4 linked regions of the Callithrix jacchus genome follow. The protein of the gene in region 4 purifies or fractionates together with the protein of the main gene of each other region. This does not show direct contact. Links are inferred from orthologs where the notes say so. Each region holds a gene or a part of one and is shown on either strand. Other genes may lie near its edges.

Region 1 (3,690 bases), about 13 Mb from region 4:
CAGGAGAACGAGGTCCTCTTCACCATGTGTTTCATTCCCCTCGTCTGCTGGATTGTGTGCACCGGCCTGAAGCAGCAGATGGAGAGTGGCAAGAGCCTGGCCCAGACATCCAAGACTACCACTGCGGTGTACATCTTCTTCCTCTCCAGTTTGCTGCAGCCCCGAGGAGGGAGCCAGGAGCATACCCTCTCTGCCCACCTCTGGGGGCTCTGCTCTTTGGCTGCAGATGGGATCTGGAACCAGAAAATCCTCTTTGAGGAGTCTGACCTCAGGAATCACGGCCTGCAGAAGGCGGAGGTGTCTGCTTTCCTGAGGATGAACCTGTTCCAAAAGGAAGTGGACTGCGAGAAGCTCTACAGCTTCATCCACATGACCTTCCAGGAGTTCTTTGCTGCCATGTACTACCTGCTGGAAGAGGAAAAGGAAGGAGGGATGCAGAATGTTCCAGGGAGTTGCTTGACGCTTCCCAGCCGGGACGTGACAGTCCTTCTGGAAAACTACGGCAAATTCGAGAAGGGGTATTTGATTTTCGTTGTGCGTTTCCTCTTCGGCCTGGTGAACCAGGAGAGGACCTCCTACTTGGAGAAGAAATTAAGTTGCAAGGTCTCTCAGCAGATCAGGCTGGAGCTGCTGAAATGGATTGAGGTGAAGGCCAAGGCAAAGAAGCTGCAGATCCAGCCCAGCCAGCTGGAATTGTTCTACTGTTTGTACGAGATGCAGGAGGAGGACTTTGTGCAGAGGGCCATGGACCATTTCCCCAAGATTGAGATCAATCTCTCCACCAGAATGGACCACGTGGTTTCTTCCTTTTGCATTGAGAACTGTCATCGGGTGGAGTCCCTTTCCCTGGGGTTTCTCCACAACATGCCCAAGGAGGAGGAGGAAGAGGAGAAGGAAGGCCGACACCTCGACGTGGCCCAGTGTGTACCCCCAGGCTCTCTCACTGCCTGTTCCCTCGGGTAAGCAGGCTCGGCTCCAGCAGGCGGCAGAGCGTGCCCTCTGCCCCCTCTCCAGCTTTTGCTTGGCACCTGCCTCCTCTGGTGTCTTTTCATCTATCTTCCAAATTTAGTTGCCACAGCTGTGTAATGATGCCGCCACCACCCATTTCACACCCCTTCATGGGCAAAGGTTGACTTGTGGTAGGTGGATAAATGGGGTGAGCAAAGAAACAATGAAATAAGGAACAAATGTTTTGGGAATGCTAGTTTAGCACAAGGGATGAGGGAGGTTGGAGGACTGCCTACAAAGGCTTGCCAAAAGAAACTGCTCGTCAGCTATTTGGAGCGCTAGTGCCTCATGGTCAGTCAATGTCTCTGGGGCAGGGCAATGCCAGACTCCGTCCCAGGAGCCCAGGGGACAGAAGGCCCTTAGAGCTGGAGGCTGGGGGAGGTTTCTTAGAAAAGCGCAATTTAAACTTGGCTTTAAGGGATGCTGGGACATGTGTGCGGGGAGAAGAAAGTAAAGGGATCCAGGCATTGAAGACCCACACAAGCAAGTCGGGAATGCAGTCTGAGAAGCATGTGCAGGTGGCAGTGGAGAGAGACTCGGTTTCCTTGGGAAAAATACGATAGCGATGAATCAAGGGAAACAGAGCAGAAAAGCTGAAACGCTCCTTCCAGGCCCCCATGTTGCTTTGCCCTGGGCTGTCGCCAGAAGTGTCTGCTCTAGGGTGTGCTCATGACTTGCTGGGCGGTTGGAAGCCAGTTGCCGAGTCTGTGCAGTGAAGCAGTTGAGTCAACTGACTTCTGTGTCCCTTCTGGGTTTCTTGTTCAGTGGCTCCTAAGAAGGACAGTGGTTGTAGGAAGGCGGGCACCCTGTGATGTGAGTTTAATCCGTAGAGAAGACAAACAGGAGGCTAGGCCCTTCCACTGGCAGCGGTGAGCTTCAGCTTCCTCTAGCCCTGACTCTGCCCGGCCAGGACACCTTCCTGGTCCTCATTTGGCCCAGAAGGACCAACTGCTCGCAGGGCTGCAGTGGAGGCTGAGACCCAGGTCCCTTTCATAGGGCTTGAGGTCCGTCATGGGACAGTCAGGAAACAGGTGTGGGTGTGTGTGCGTGTGCGCATGTGTGCACATGTATGTGTGTGCATGTGCACGTGTTTGCGTGCGTGTGTTTGCGCACGTGTGCACGTGCGTGCACGTGTATGTGTGCACGTGTGCGTGTGTGTTCATGCGCGCGTGTGCGTGTATGTGTGGGTGCATGCGCGTGTGTGTCACGGGCTCTGACAAGGAACTTGCAGAGTACCCAAAGCACAAGGGGATGAACCTGTTCACTTCTGCGGCGTGGGTGTCCCCCTCCGCCAGCTTCCAGAGGATGGGCGGAGTGACAGAGTGAGAGAAGGCCAGGGGCAGCCCAGGCTGGGGGTACAGAGTATTCAGAGGGGGCAGGCGTGGGAAAGCAGGGCCAGCAGTTCCGAGTGACTGGAAGAAGACAGATGTCTCCATCTGTCAGGCTGCCATAGCCAAATGCTGTAGACTGCTTGGCTCACAAAAAAAAGCAATGATCACCGTACAGTTCTGGAGGCGGGAGGCCCGTGGACGAGCACCGGCAGATGTGTTTGGTGAGACCTCATCAACATCACACACCGGTGAGGAAGCAGGGTAGGAGGCTCAGCACCCGTCCCTCTAGAAGGCAGCCCCACAGGGGAGAGGGGAGGGACACTGAGGGGCGGCCGCAGATGGCACTTTCTTGCTGCGTCCTCACAGGTGGAGGGTGAGGCAGCTCTCTGGGGTCCCTTTTGTCAGGGCAGCGATCCCACCGCGAGGGCTCCACCCTCATAACTTCATCACATCTCAAAGGCCCCAGCTCCTCATACGTCACGTTGAGGGTTGGGGTTTCAGCATATGGATTTGGGGCACACAAACATTCAGACCACAGAAACGGGAGAAGAGGAATAAGAGAAAAGCAGGCAGACCTACTTATTAGAAGTGAGGTGGAGGGTCAGGGAGGCCATGTCCGGGTCACACACCCGTGAAGAAGGCTCGCAGACTCGCACTGCTGCCCTGGCGGGGGCTCAGCACCCGTCCCTGTAGATGGCAGCTGCTGGCCAGGCGGGGTGGCTCATGCCTCTAATCCCAGCACTTTGGGAGTCTGACCGGGGCGGACCAGCCAGGCCAACATGGTGAAACCCCGTCTCTACTAAAAATACAAAAATTAGCTGGCTGTGGTGGCAAGCACCTGTAGTCCCAGCTACTTGGGAAGCTGAGGCGGGAGAACTATTGAACCCGGGAGGCGGAGGTTTCAGTGAGCTAAGATCACGCCACTGCGCTCCAGCCTGATGACAGAGTGAGACTTGTCTCAAAAAAAAAAAAAAATGTAGATGGCAGCTGCCTACCTCTGAGGACAGATTCTGACTGGAGCCCTGGTAGGGGCTCAGCACCCGTCCCTCTAGATGGCAGCTGCCTTCTCCCTCTGATGGCAGGAACTTGCTGTGTCTCAGCACTTTCTGAGAACCAGAAGCCTGGGCATCTGTTAGAAACGCAAAATTGTAGACCCAGTTGTAGACCCGGGGAGGAAGACTTTGCATCTGGATGAGAGCTACAGGTGATTCAAAGGTAACTGCATGTGTGCTGCAGTGGCTCATGCCTGTCACCCTAAGTTTTTGGCAAGCCAAGACAGGGGGATTGCTTGAAGCCGGGAGTTCAAGTCCTGCCTGAGCTGCAAAGTGAGAGCCCTTCTCTACGGAAAAAC
Region 2 (3,690 bases), on a different chromosome or scaffold from region 4:
TGTTAGGCACCCTCACAATGCCAGGGACCGGCTATGGGGGACCAAGAAAGAAAGTCCACACCTCATTGCTCTCCACAGAAGCTTCGCTGCTGAGCCCCTGGGCTCTGGCCAGGCCCTCGCTGCTGCTGCTGCTCCTGACAGGCCCCAGGTTGGCACAGAAAGCATGTCCCTCTGAGGGCGGGAAGACAGGGTGTCCGCCTGCAGGATTCACCAAGGTACTGTGCATGGGCTGCCCTGGGTCCAGGGCATTCCTTGGCGCCTGCAGCGGTTGATTCCTTTTGTTTCAGGCTGCCTGCCTGTGCTAAACCCTCCCCTCTATACACACTGGCAGGGCTTCTGTCTTTTTGTTCACTGCTAATCTCAAGCACCCGGAGCAATGCTTGGCCCAAGGTGGGCACTCTGTTAACAGCTGCTGCACAGAGCTGTGATTCTAACAGATATTCCTAGTGGAGTGTGTCCTGAAAGCCTCGGTGGGCTCCCAAGCAAGGGCTCAACCTGTTGGTGTGGAATGGCTCCCCTAAGCTGCACGGGGCTGCTGGACCAGAAGCTTCTCCCTTTCCTCACAAGAACCAGGGCCATCCACATCTGGCCCTTTCTTGTCCTCTGCTGGATGGCTATGCCCCAGCGCCAGGCCAGGGGTAAGATGGGCACACAAGAGCTCCAGGACCTGCCTGAGCCGCAGGCTGAACAGGGTGGGGCACACGTACCCCGACTGCTGCTGCTGCTGCTGCTTTCTATGTCCTGCTCGTTGATGGGGGAGGTGACATCCCGGCAGCAGAGGCCCTCTTCTTCCAGGGGGTTCTCACCACTGCTGTTGAAGGTGACATAGCCGCGGAGAGGCACCTGCTCTGTGTACAGAATGGGGGCCATAAACCCAGGGAACTCCAAAGTGAAGTTGCTTCTGGTTCCAGATGCCCCTACATTTCCCAGACTGGTCTCAAAACTCCTGGGCCCAAGCAGTCCTCCTGCCTCAGCCTCCCAAAGTGCTGGGATTACAGGCATGAACCACTGTACCTGGCCCCCAATTTTTTTTTGAGACAGAGTCTCCCGCTGTTGCCAGGCTGGAGTACAGTAACAAGATCTCAGCTCACTGCAACCTCCACCTCCCGGGTTCAAATGGTTCTTCAGCCTCAGCCTCCTGTGTAGCTGGGATTACAGGCACGCGCCACCACGCCCAACTAAGTTTTGTATTTTATAGTAGAGACGGAGTCTCACCGTGTTGGCCAGGATGGTCTCAATCTCTTGACCTTGTGATTCACCCACCTCGGCCTCCCAAAGTGCTGGGATTACAGGCCTGAGCCACTGTGCCCATCCCCCAATTTTTTAAAATTACTGGCAAAGAGAATATATGCACTTATGGAAAATTTAAATTTCATAAGGTATGAGAGGAAAAAACAAAAATCCCCTGAAATGCCACACCTGAGACCACTACCATCATCACTGCTCTGTGGATACCTAAAAACTGCCCACAAACAGCTTCAGACATGTATCGTTTTGATAAAGCATCTGTCATATGGCCATATAGATTAATTACCACCCCAGCCCCAGGATCAAACCCCTCCTTCCTCCCCCCACCACACCTCAGGCTGCAGCAGGTGCCTGAGATCCTTAAGAAAGAGACTGCTGCTCAGAATGACCAGCCCAGTGTCCCAGAGCCAGTGCTCACAGCTCAGTGGCTGGAACACAGGTGGGCCCTCTTGCTGTGGTGGGAGGTGGCCAGCAACTGGAGAGAGGCCTTCCCAGTGACCCAGTTAACCGCCCCTCCCAGGACAATGGGAGAAGGTGGGTCCCCAGTTCCCAACCCAGCACCCAGGCTTGGGAAGACAGAAGTCTGCACCTCTGCTTCTTCTTGGAGTCTTAGAAGGGAATCCAGTAATTCATGTACCCTTGGCTAAAACTATTCTCACTAGGAAAGTCAGACTATTCCAAGTACTGGCCTCAAAGAGGCCTTGCTCCTGTGAGGGACCAGCCACCAGGCCTGTGAGACCAGCACCCTTGGCCTGGCCATGGGTGGGTGACAGCCATCAAAAGAAGACACAACTCAAAGCTGAGTCTGAGCTCAGCAAGAGAGAGTGGGTACCAAATCCAACTCAGCTAAAAACAACCCCCAGCACTCCCAAGAGCAAAATGCTCAGCACTGGGGCTGACAACCTGAGAATAAACTTGAGATCTGAAAACCTGACGGCTAGGATTCTTTACCACCAAGTGCACCCTCTCTCAGGAGGGTCTGAGCTCAGCTCCATTGCCCTGAGAAAACAGCTGGGCCTGTCTGCCCTTAGCCTCCTAACCCTGAGAGCGTACGCGACCCAGCTGGTATGGGTAAGGCAGGGAAGTGGATCGTCACACTGCATCCTCCCTGTATGAGCCGACCCACCTATGCGATTAATGAAATCTGACCTGAGCTACATTTCTGCTGCAGGACAGAGAGATTTATTCCTAAATTTAACCAATGAAAAGGAAAGTCAAGGAGGTCAAGCAAAAAAAACCAGAATGAGCTCATGACCAATGCATTTCCATCACTGGACTCAATCCTGATTCTCCCTGAGCATGAAAGCCTGGGCCACTTGTCCTGCTACCGCCTGAGGTCCAGGGACCCATGTTTCAGGAGCCTAAGAGCTATTCCATTCTTGCCAACACAGAATCTTGGTATGCAGTAACAGAGAGACGCGGGTCACTCACCATAGCGACACCGTGGGGCCCTGCCCCCGAGGCCAATGCCTGTGATCCTGGCCAGCGCTCTTGGCCCCTCGTGGATGCTGACACCCTTCTTCCGGCACGGCCTCTGTCTCTGAGGAGCAGGGCAGGACTCATCAGAAGAACTCAGATCTTCGTATTTTTCTGTAGGTCCAACACCAAGATTAAGACAGTCTGTTCAGTGATGGACTAATTTACTAATGCTTAGATTAAACTGAAAGAAAGTAACTATCACAGGTTTTGTTAAATTAAGGAGAGGGTATCTGCCAGGACATCACTTTTGGGAAATGCCCACATAGGCCGGGGTGCTGCTCCAGTGGGCCACAGGGAGCTGCAAAGTTAGTGAGAACGGGGAGCTTAACTTTTTTTCTTGAGACAGTTTCATTCTGTCCTCCAGGATGAAGTGCAGTGGTGCGATCTCAGCTCACTGCAACCTCCGCCTCCTGGGTTCAAACAATTCTCATGCCTCAGCCTCCCAAGTAGCTGGGATTACAGGTGCACGCCACCATGCCCAGCTAATTTTTCTCCCTGTCTTTTTTTTTAGTAGAGATGGGCTTTTGCCATGTTGGCCAGGCTGGTCTCAAACTCCTACCTCAGGTGATCTGCCCCCCCCCCCCCCCCCCCCCCCGCCCCGGGCCTCCCAAAGTACCGGGATTACAGGCTTAAGCCACCGAGTCCGGTGAGGAGTTTCATTCTTACCTCTTTGTCAGGGTTTGCAAATTCATAAAAAGCCTGTATTGTTCACAATCAGAAGTAAGTTTTGACCTAAGTTGAAGGAATAACTAAAATTCATTTCTTCATTTAAAATATGATATCAGTCACAACTTTTTTTTCCAGTTCCCTTCCTTTGGAAACAACTTCTTAAGGAATTCTGTATTTTCTAAAGCATAGCATCTGTTTGCTATGATTTTTAACTCTTTCACATCACTACCTAGTCTGACCTTTCAGAGCTGAACCCAGAGCTTTTACTATTTTGTAGCTTTTCAGTTTTTCATA
Region 3 (3,690 bases), on a different chromosome or scaffold from region 4:
ACAACCTCAGTGGGGAGTCAGGGGTATCACAATGACAGTCCTGCTGCTAAGGCAAGGGAGAGACCAGGGGACCTCCAAGGCCCTGGTGAGGGCTGGATTTCTGGGCACTGCACAGTAAGAGCTGGGGCTCCTATTATTTTATCATCTGTCATTATCAATAGCACAGTCTGCACCCTACCTGAGGCTCTTCCCAGGGATTCCCCCAGGGCCACTGTACTCCCTCAGCTCCCGCATGTCTGCTACAGCCTCGCCTTCTCAAGGTTGCCCAACCACTCCATTTCACAGAGCAGACTGCATTGTCCCAGCTCTGCCACAGCCAACCTCTTTACATTGCCCTTGTTGTTTTTTTTAAGCCTATGGCACTTACCACCTATCCTACTATATATTTAATATGTTTATTTCCTCTTTACTGCCTGTCTCCCCTTATGGAGGCCATAGTACTCAGTGGCAGGGATTTGGGTCTCATTTGTTCATTGATGTATCCAAAGTGCTTAGAAAGGTGCTTGGTACATAGCAGGCCTCAGTACATCTTTGGAAAGTATCAGAATGAATGTATGATCAATCAAAACATGGCAGCTTCCATTTACTGGATGTTGTCTATGTGCTAGGGCACTATGACAAAAATTTTATAGGCATGATCTTACTATTCCTCACAAAACCTCCCAAGAAAAGTGACTTTATTATGACTGTTTTACAAAAAAAGGCATTGAAGTCCTGCAGGGCCAATTATACATGACCAAGACCACTTTGGTACAGAGAGGGAGAACTGAGCCTCAGACTGGGTCTGCTTGACGGGAACATGACCCAATCCTGCTGGAAGACCCAAGGTTTGCTCCCATCAAATATGCCAACAACAGTATGGAGTAATGCCATTTGTGATGTGCTCCCTCAGGGCCAGGAAGGATCTCACATGATGCCCCACAGCAGTCCTGAGGTGGTGTCAGTCCTACCACCCATTTGTGGAAAAGGAAAGGGGAGCTTGCTGAACTCAGACAATCAGTTCAAGGTCCCTTGGCCAGCAGTGGCACAGCCAAGGTTGAACCAAGTAGATGGTGACCTTGGCCACATCCACCAATGTGTCTGAGCCTTTGTATCTTGGGGAAATGAGGACATCACCATCCCACAATGCAAGACAATCCTAAAATGAGGCCTGTCAGAAGCAGCCCGAGGGCACTCCATGAAGATTCAAGATGCAGAGGCTGAGGAAACCTGGGAAGGAGAACACACACACAGCAGACGAGGCACAGCTCGGTAGGCACAGGCGGGTGCAAGTTAAGGAGTGCCCACTTCTAAGCCTGAGTTCCCTCTGCTGCAAAATGGGAGAACACCCTCCTCAGAGGGTCCCTGTGAAGGTGAGGGGAGATTCAGCACAGCAGGTACGCTGGGCACGGCAGGGCCTGGGAAAGACAGATCCCTTCCCCACCCCCGCCACAAATAACCCAAATCTTTAAAGAGCAATGGCCTTATGTCAGAAAAAAACAAAACAAAACAAAAACCCTGTCCTGGAAGACTGGGTCCCTAATTTCTAATTGCAAGCCTTTATGAGGCCCTAACACTCTACCAGGCTGAGTGTCTCACACGTCAAAGGTGAACCGGATAACCAGCCTTCTGCTCACCACCACCTGCAGTAGTTGCTGTCATTGTGTCCATTTCACAGATGAAGCAAAAGCTTAGGAGAGGCATGTGAAAAATCAGCTTCTAGAGCCCCTGCAGGAGCTGCAGGTGGGCAAAGTCACCTCAAGGTGCTCTTCCCATGGAATCCTCACCTTCTGAGAGTCACTCACTTAGCTTCCAATGGGTGTGTGACTTTTGACCAGCTTTCCTCCCTCTCTGGGCCTCAGTTTCCCACCTGGACAAAGTAAGAGGTCTCTTGGCTTCAGATAGGTCTTCCTAACCTTCACTACTTTTTGCTTTTCATTTGAGTGTCCTCTTCATTATTGCCACCTCTCTGTCATTACAGACTTTTAAAATATATTTATTTCAGACTTGTTCTGATTGAATGGTATATTTATTTATTTTTTTTGGATGGTATATTTCTAATAAGCACTTACCAAATTTTCAGCATCTCTTGATTGATGGGGCTATTGTATATTCTTTCAATGGTAACAAACTTAACACTTTCAAGTCTTTTTAGCCAATGTACCTGAAGATAACTTTCTTCAGTTTTTTACCTCTCATTTCTAGATGCTTATATACACTGCTGCCCACCTGCTGTTATGCCCTGGGATCTTACTGCAAATGGTGCATTAGAGGTTTTGAAACGCGGTATGTCATGTGGCAGATTTGCTCAGGATTGTTCAGACAACTTTTTACATGCCAGGGAGATGGCAAGAAGGAAAAAAAAAATGCACAGCTAGATCTTTTTTAAAAAACTAATTTTCACCAATTTTACATGAATTAGTGTTTGGGGAATGGTCAGGGCAGAGGACGTCAGGCACACTATTGTAGAGCAAGGGCTGGCAAACTATAGCCCATGGCTCAAATATGCCCCACTGCCTGTTTTTGTAATAATTTATTGGAACCTAGCCAAACCCAACTCATTTACATATTGCAAGTATAGCCACATCTACTCATTTACTCATTACTTACGTAAGGCTGCTTTCACACTAGCAGAATTGACCACTGTAGTTTTAACAGAGACTGTATGGCCCATATAGCCTATTTGGCCTTCTACAGAAAAAGTTTGCCAAACCTTGTTCAGGGACCCCAGAACCACCTGCATCAGAATGATGTGGTTGGGGAGAATGGCCTTGCTATAGAAGCTTCCAGGCTCTTGCTCAAGGTTACTAAAATCAGACTCTCCAGAGACTGGGCTGGAACCTGCATGTCACAGGCAATCTCCTCCATACTTAAGCACATCACTTCCTCAGTCTCACTAGTCTACAGGGCTGGACTCTGATTTCTGTGTGTACTTCCAGTAGAGCAATCCTCAGCGTAAGCCACATAAGCACAATTTGGGGTCCTCTGTAAAGTCCCAGGGGGCATGCAGCCTGACCTGTTTTGGGCCTTACGGTGGTCAGCGGGTCCAGGTAGTCTACAAGGTCCCTGTGCTTGCAGTCCAGCGCAACCTCGAAGGCAGTCTTCTCCAGCACACTGAGGTGGTCAGGGTTGGCGCCCTTCTCCACCAGCTGCTGGGCCACTCCAAGTCGCCCAGTGAGTGCAGCCAGCATCAGCGGGCTCCAGCTCACCGTCCGGGCTGCGTGGTTGGGGTCTGCGCCCCACTCCATCAGTAGACGCACCACAGCCTCATGCCCATGCTGGATGGCGGCCATCAGGGCTGTGATGTCCAGGGGCTCATCCCTGATGCTGCCCAACCCCGGCTGCTCGCCTGAGGGGTGGTGATGGTCCACAAAGGCACCAGCTTCCAGGAGCAGCTTCACCACACCCAGGTGGCCACCCCGAGAGGCCACAGTGAGCACACTGGCCCCGAGCCGGTTCTGGGCATTGACATCAGCTCCATGATCCAACAGGAGGTGTGCCACACTCACATGCCCGAATCTGCCAGGAAGATGGAGAATGAGTGACACTAAACGCAGAGCAATCAGGAGACAGCTTATGTAGTCCCTATTTGTCATGAAGTATTAGTCCTGACAGCTTCTCATAATAAGAGGTCTTATTCTTGTGCCAGGCACTGTTCCAGCCCCACAGATGCAGGTGTACCATCATTAAGGTGAGCAGCTGCCCTGCCTG
Region 4 (4,234 bases):
TTGAGATCTTGAACGTTTTTCTTTTTTTGGGACGGAGATTGGCTGTCTCACCCAGGCTGGAGTGAAGTGGCGCAATCTCTGCTCACTGCAACCTCTGTCCCCTGGGTTCAAGCAATTCTCCTATCTCAGCCTCCCCAGTAGCTGGGATTATACGCTCCTGCCACCCCGCGCGGCTAGTTTTTGTATTTTTAGTAGAGACAGCGTTTTGCCATGTTGGCCAGCTGGTCTCAAACTCCTAACCTCAGGTGATCCACCCCTCCCCCCACTTCGGCCTCCCAAAGTGCTAGGATTACAGCTGTGAGCCACCGCGCCCAGCCGTTTTAATTTCTAAAAATAGACTTTCCGGATCTTAATTTCATGGCTTTAACATTTTAAATGAGCTATAATCTCATTGTTGGCTCGAATCGTTTTGGCAGGAAAGTTAAACTACTGAGAGACCTATGAAAAACAGCAATAATTTAATGAGCACGTCTAATATGCCAAGCTTTGGGCTTAAGCACTTTGTTTTATCTCACTTAATTCCAACTATGGTCCTAGACGTTGGTAGTGTGACTATTCTCCCTTTACAGAGTTACTGAGACTTGGAGAGGTTAAGTAACTTGCAGTCAGGTCACAAAATTAACCACGGAGCTGAGATGAGAATTTAGATATGACCGACTCCCCACTGCCTCCTAGCAGTCTCCTCGAGTAGTTCATGTCCTGTTACCGAAGTAGTGAAGCTGCTGGTGTCAAAACATTCCTTCTGCAGTTTCAGTTTCCTGTACTAGGGTTCTGGGTGATTTTGCACATATTTATTTCAAAGATCCTCGGTACCACACCAGGTAGTTTACCTTTCGGAATGTAAAAGCCACTGTCCTCTATGCTGGGACACTTTCACGCAACGCTGGCTTAGTCAGACTCAGGAAAACGCCTTGTTTCTCATTTCCCTGCACTCCACATTAAACGCAGAGGTAGTTTACACCACCTGGTAAAAGAGGACTGGATGACAAACGCTGTGGTCCAGAAGAAAGGGCACGTCACCAAGTCGGTTCACCGCTTGCTAGCGGGGACGCTTACATATAAACGAAGAGAAAACAAGTTCTTAAAAAGCAGCCGACCCCGGGTTTGGTGGGAAGCTGGCCTGAAGCTGGGAAGAGGGCTCAGAGGACCGGACGCCGTGCCCCGCACCCCGCTAGCCCTGACAGCGGCAAGAGACCGGCCAGGAGGAGTTCTTCCAGAGCGGCCTCGGCTCTAGTAGGCAAGCCGCCGAGGCTCTCCCAACTGCCGGGCTCGCGGGAGGACGCAGACGGGAAGCCTCCGCCGGACAGCCGGCCGGGACCCCGCGGAGCGGGGAGTGGCCGGCGCCCGCCCCGCCCCTCTCCTCGGGGATGCCGGGATGTTTACACTCCAGACAGCCGCGGCCGCAGGAGGAGGAGCAGGAGCCGCGGGAGGATGGGCCGCCACTAGGCTCGCACTCGGGACGCGCCTCGGAGTGCGCAGGGTGGGTGCCCGCGCCTGCAGTGTCCGCGGGGACGGCGCGGCAGGAGGTGGCTGATAGCTTCCGGGCCTCGCAGCCACAGCTCCCGGCCCAGCGCGGTTTCCGACGGCGGCGCCGGGCCGAGCCACCCCGTCTGCCCAAGGTCCCTCGCGAGCGGGAGAACGGAAAACTCCTAACTTCCTGGTGAGTCGCTGCTCAGGGCTCAGGCGCCCGGCCTGGGTAGCTCCTGCCGGGTGGGGCGGCCTGCGGGAGTCGGGCCGGGGGAGTGGGAGGTCGGCACCGCGCGGGGCGGCCTCCGGGATCCCCTTGCTCGGGGTAGGTGGGGCGGGGCGCGCCGCGCTTCAGTCGTCCGGGGTTTTCGGTCCTATTCGTCCGCATTGGTGGGAGGCGGCGGCGGCGGGAAACTTCATACCTGGCACCGACTCTGGCGGGCCGAGGCCGCCAAGGGCGCCGCGGTAACTAAGAAACTCCGCGGCCAGCGCCGCGGCGGCTGCAACAGGTCTTTGGTTTCTGGACCGGAGGAACTTAAGCGAAGTCCCGCCTCCCGGCGGATGCTCATTGGCGACGTCGGTTATTTATCCCTCGCGGATTGGCGAGGTCCGTCTGTCAGGATTCGGTCGCAGCCCGACCTAGGAAAGTGAAGTGCGCTGGAGAGAGTGGGTGGTGGGAGCCAGCAGACGGGAGATTCCGAAGTGGCCTGAGAAGTACAGGGAGCGTGAGAGGTCTGTTGGAGAATGAACTTGGGAGGGGCTGGAGATGACAAAATGTCGGCCAGAGGGATCGAGAGGCAATAGCGAACATTGCCGGTGATGGTGGCAGTGGAAAAGAAATTGAAAACTGAGGCCACAGTCAGAGAAGGGGAGCCAGATGAAGACGGAGAAAAGTGACATGACCGTATGACCGCAGAACAGTGCAAAGACGCGAACACAACCTAGAGGATGCTACCTTGAGAGCTAAAGAACTTCCTTGCCTCCTTTGCGCTGTAGGCCTTCACTCTTAAAACCGCAGCATCCGCTATTTAGTCTTGCACTTGGAGCGTAGTGGGGTGGTAGAGATGATGCATCAACCAATGAATCGTGTTCTCGCATAGCTGTAGTCCTCATTGGGGAGAAATACTAAAAATATACTTAGTTTACAGTAAGATACATGCTGCCATCCTTGCGCAATTCTGGTGACTGAACTGAAAATCTGAAATAAAATTATTTTTTCTCCTTTGAGGTTACTGAGCTCAAGGATGCGGTTGAAAACATCAAATTTCCGTTGTTTGTAGGGCCTTATGTACCTATCATAATTGGAACTACTATTTTTAATTCCTCCTCCAAGGAATTACAGTTTCAGGAGTATGCACACTCCCTCCAAGCGACAGCAGTATGTCTGGTCAGGTTGCATTAGAGAATAAAGTACAGAGCATGTGTGTTATAAATATGTTCTGTTAAGGACCTTGAGGTGCTGCTGATGTGGTCGAAGAATGACACAGTACTTGCACTAAAAAACTACAGTATGCTTAGGACAATCGGTCAAACCTTGCAAATGGCGAACAGTTAAACGACACATACAATTAACCCATGCTTTGTGGCAAGTCTTGTTCAATGGCCGCTATTTTTGATTTGTAACACGTGGCGATGGCCAAGTGCTCTTGAAACAGTTAACTTAAAATCTCAGCAGTTATTTCCAGAGAAAGTAAGCCTGTCTCCCTTGGCGAGATCCAGTCCACAGCTCGCTTCCCTCCTAAAACCGCGGCATCCTCTGTTGGGTCTTGCACCGGGAGTTTGCTGGGGTAGGGGGAGAGGTGTTGGAGCTTTGAAAACGCTTTGCCCCTCGGAGGAGTCAAAGGGGCAGAAACTGCATGGGGTGAGAGGAAGGCCTGAGAAATAAAGGCAGAGGAACCCTTTGAGGAGGCTAGTTGCCTTCTCGGGGCCGGTGTGTGTGCGTGTGCCTGGCTAGTGTTAAGGGTGAGGAAGGAGCCCGGGAGCCTGCGGTACCCTCCCGGAGGTGCGGGCCTGAGATTCCGCTGGGTGGCGAGAGTCTCCGCCCTCCGGAGCACTGACGGCCTTCGCAGCCAATGGGCGGCGAGGACATCGCGTTTGAGAGGGCGGGTACTTCCTACTCCGGCCCTGGGCTCGTAGAAGGACGCGCAAGTTGTTTCTCCAGGGATGTCTGCAGGAGGGATGCCAGGCTGAGGTCCGGCGTCGAGAAATAAATAAATAAAAGGTAGCGGGCTTCGGTTTCCCCTGAGCCGTCCTAGGTGTCCTGTTTCGTGATTCAGCTGTACCTCGAACTTAACTACTTCTACTGAAAGTTTATAGTAGATAAGTGAAATTGGTCAGCAAACTGAATGTAGTCCATGTGACTGACGGGGGTTTACTCTGAAATTATAAGAAAATGAAAACCAAGAAATGTCAGAATCTAGATCGTTAGCTGTTTTACAACTTTTGGGGAATCTTTCCATGGTTAAAACTCTTACCAATTTAACAAGACTATTTTCAAGCATACAGGCTCATTTTATAACCTGAACTATTTGGGTTTATTTATTTAGCTAATACATGTAGCACCCAGCATTCCTTTCCCCCTTCCATATTTTCCTGGCTAGACAATTTCAAGAGTTCATTTTCGTCCCAGTAAAACAGCACTTACCCCAAGAATGGGAAAAGCATGTCTGGTATAATAGCAGCGTCCTAGCGGAGGAGGGGAGATTTGATGCCCCCGTAACTAACGTACCTGATTAATAAGCAAAAAACCAGCATTGTATTGTAATGA

What was found.
Region 1: the proteins of NEK7 (region 4) and NLRP3 purify together in Homo sapiens (affinity purification with western blotting; 9 studies listed by BioGRID and IntAct, with this or other methods). This does not show direct contact. The link is inferred for Callithrix jacchus from reciprocal best matches to the Homo sapiens genes NEK7 and NLRP3.
Region 2: the proteins of NEK7 (region 4) and ANKS3 purify together in Homo sapiens (affinity purification with mass spectrometry; 3 studies listed by BioGRID and IntAct, with this or other methods). This does not show direct contact. The link is inferred for Callithrix jacchus from reciprocal best matches to the Homo sapiens genes NEK7 and ANKS3.
Region 3: the proteins of NEK7 (region 4) and ANKS6 purify together in Homo sapiens (affinity purification with mass spectrometry; 3 studies listed by BioGRID and IntAct, with this or other methods). This does not show direct contact. The link is inferred for Callithrix jacchus from reciprocal best matches to the Homo sapiens genes NEK7 and ANKS6.

Annotation. Positions count from the first base shown.
Region 1 is NC_133520.1:38,247,571-38,251,260, reverse strand, and holds part of NLRP3 (NACHT, LRR and PYD domains-containing protein 3), read left to right. Parts: coding exon 1-959; intron 960-3,690. UniProt on the Homo sapiens protein: Sensor component of the NLRP3 inflammasome, which mediates inflammasome activation in response to defects in membrane integrity, leading to secretion of inflammatory cytokines IL1B and IL18 and pyroptosis.
Region 2 is NC_133513.1:6,823,641-6,827,330, forward strand, and holds part of ANKS3 (ankyrin repeat and SAM domain-containing protein 3), read right to left. Parts: intron 2,839-3,690; coding exon 2,680-2,838; intron 849-2,679; coding exon 708-848; intron 199-707; coding exon 62-198; intron 1-61. UniProt on the Homo sapiens protein: May be involved in vasopressin signaling in the kidney.
Region 3 is NC_133502.1:146,909,007-146,912,696, forward strand, and holds part of ANKS6 (ankyrin repeat and SAM domain-containing protein 6), read right to left. Parts: intron 3,499-3,690; coding exon 2,996-3,498; intron 1-2,995.
Region 4 is NC_133520.1:25,077,940-25,082,173, forward strand, and holds the start of NEK7 (serine/threonine-protein kinase Nek7), read left to right. Parts: upstream 1-1,388; 5' UTR 1,389-1,660; intron 1,661-3,587; exon of another isoform or gene 3,588-3,688; intron 3,689-4,234. UniProt on the Homo sapiens protein: Protein kinase which plays an important role in mitotic cell cycle progression. Required for microtubule nucleation activity of the centrosome, robust mitotic spindle formation and cytokinesis.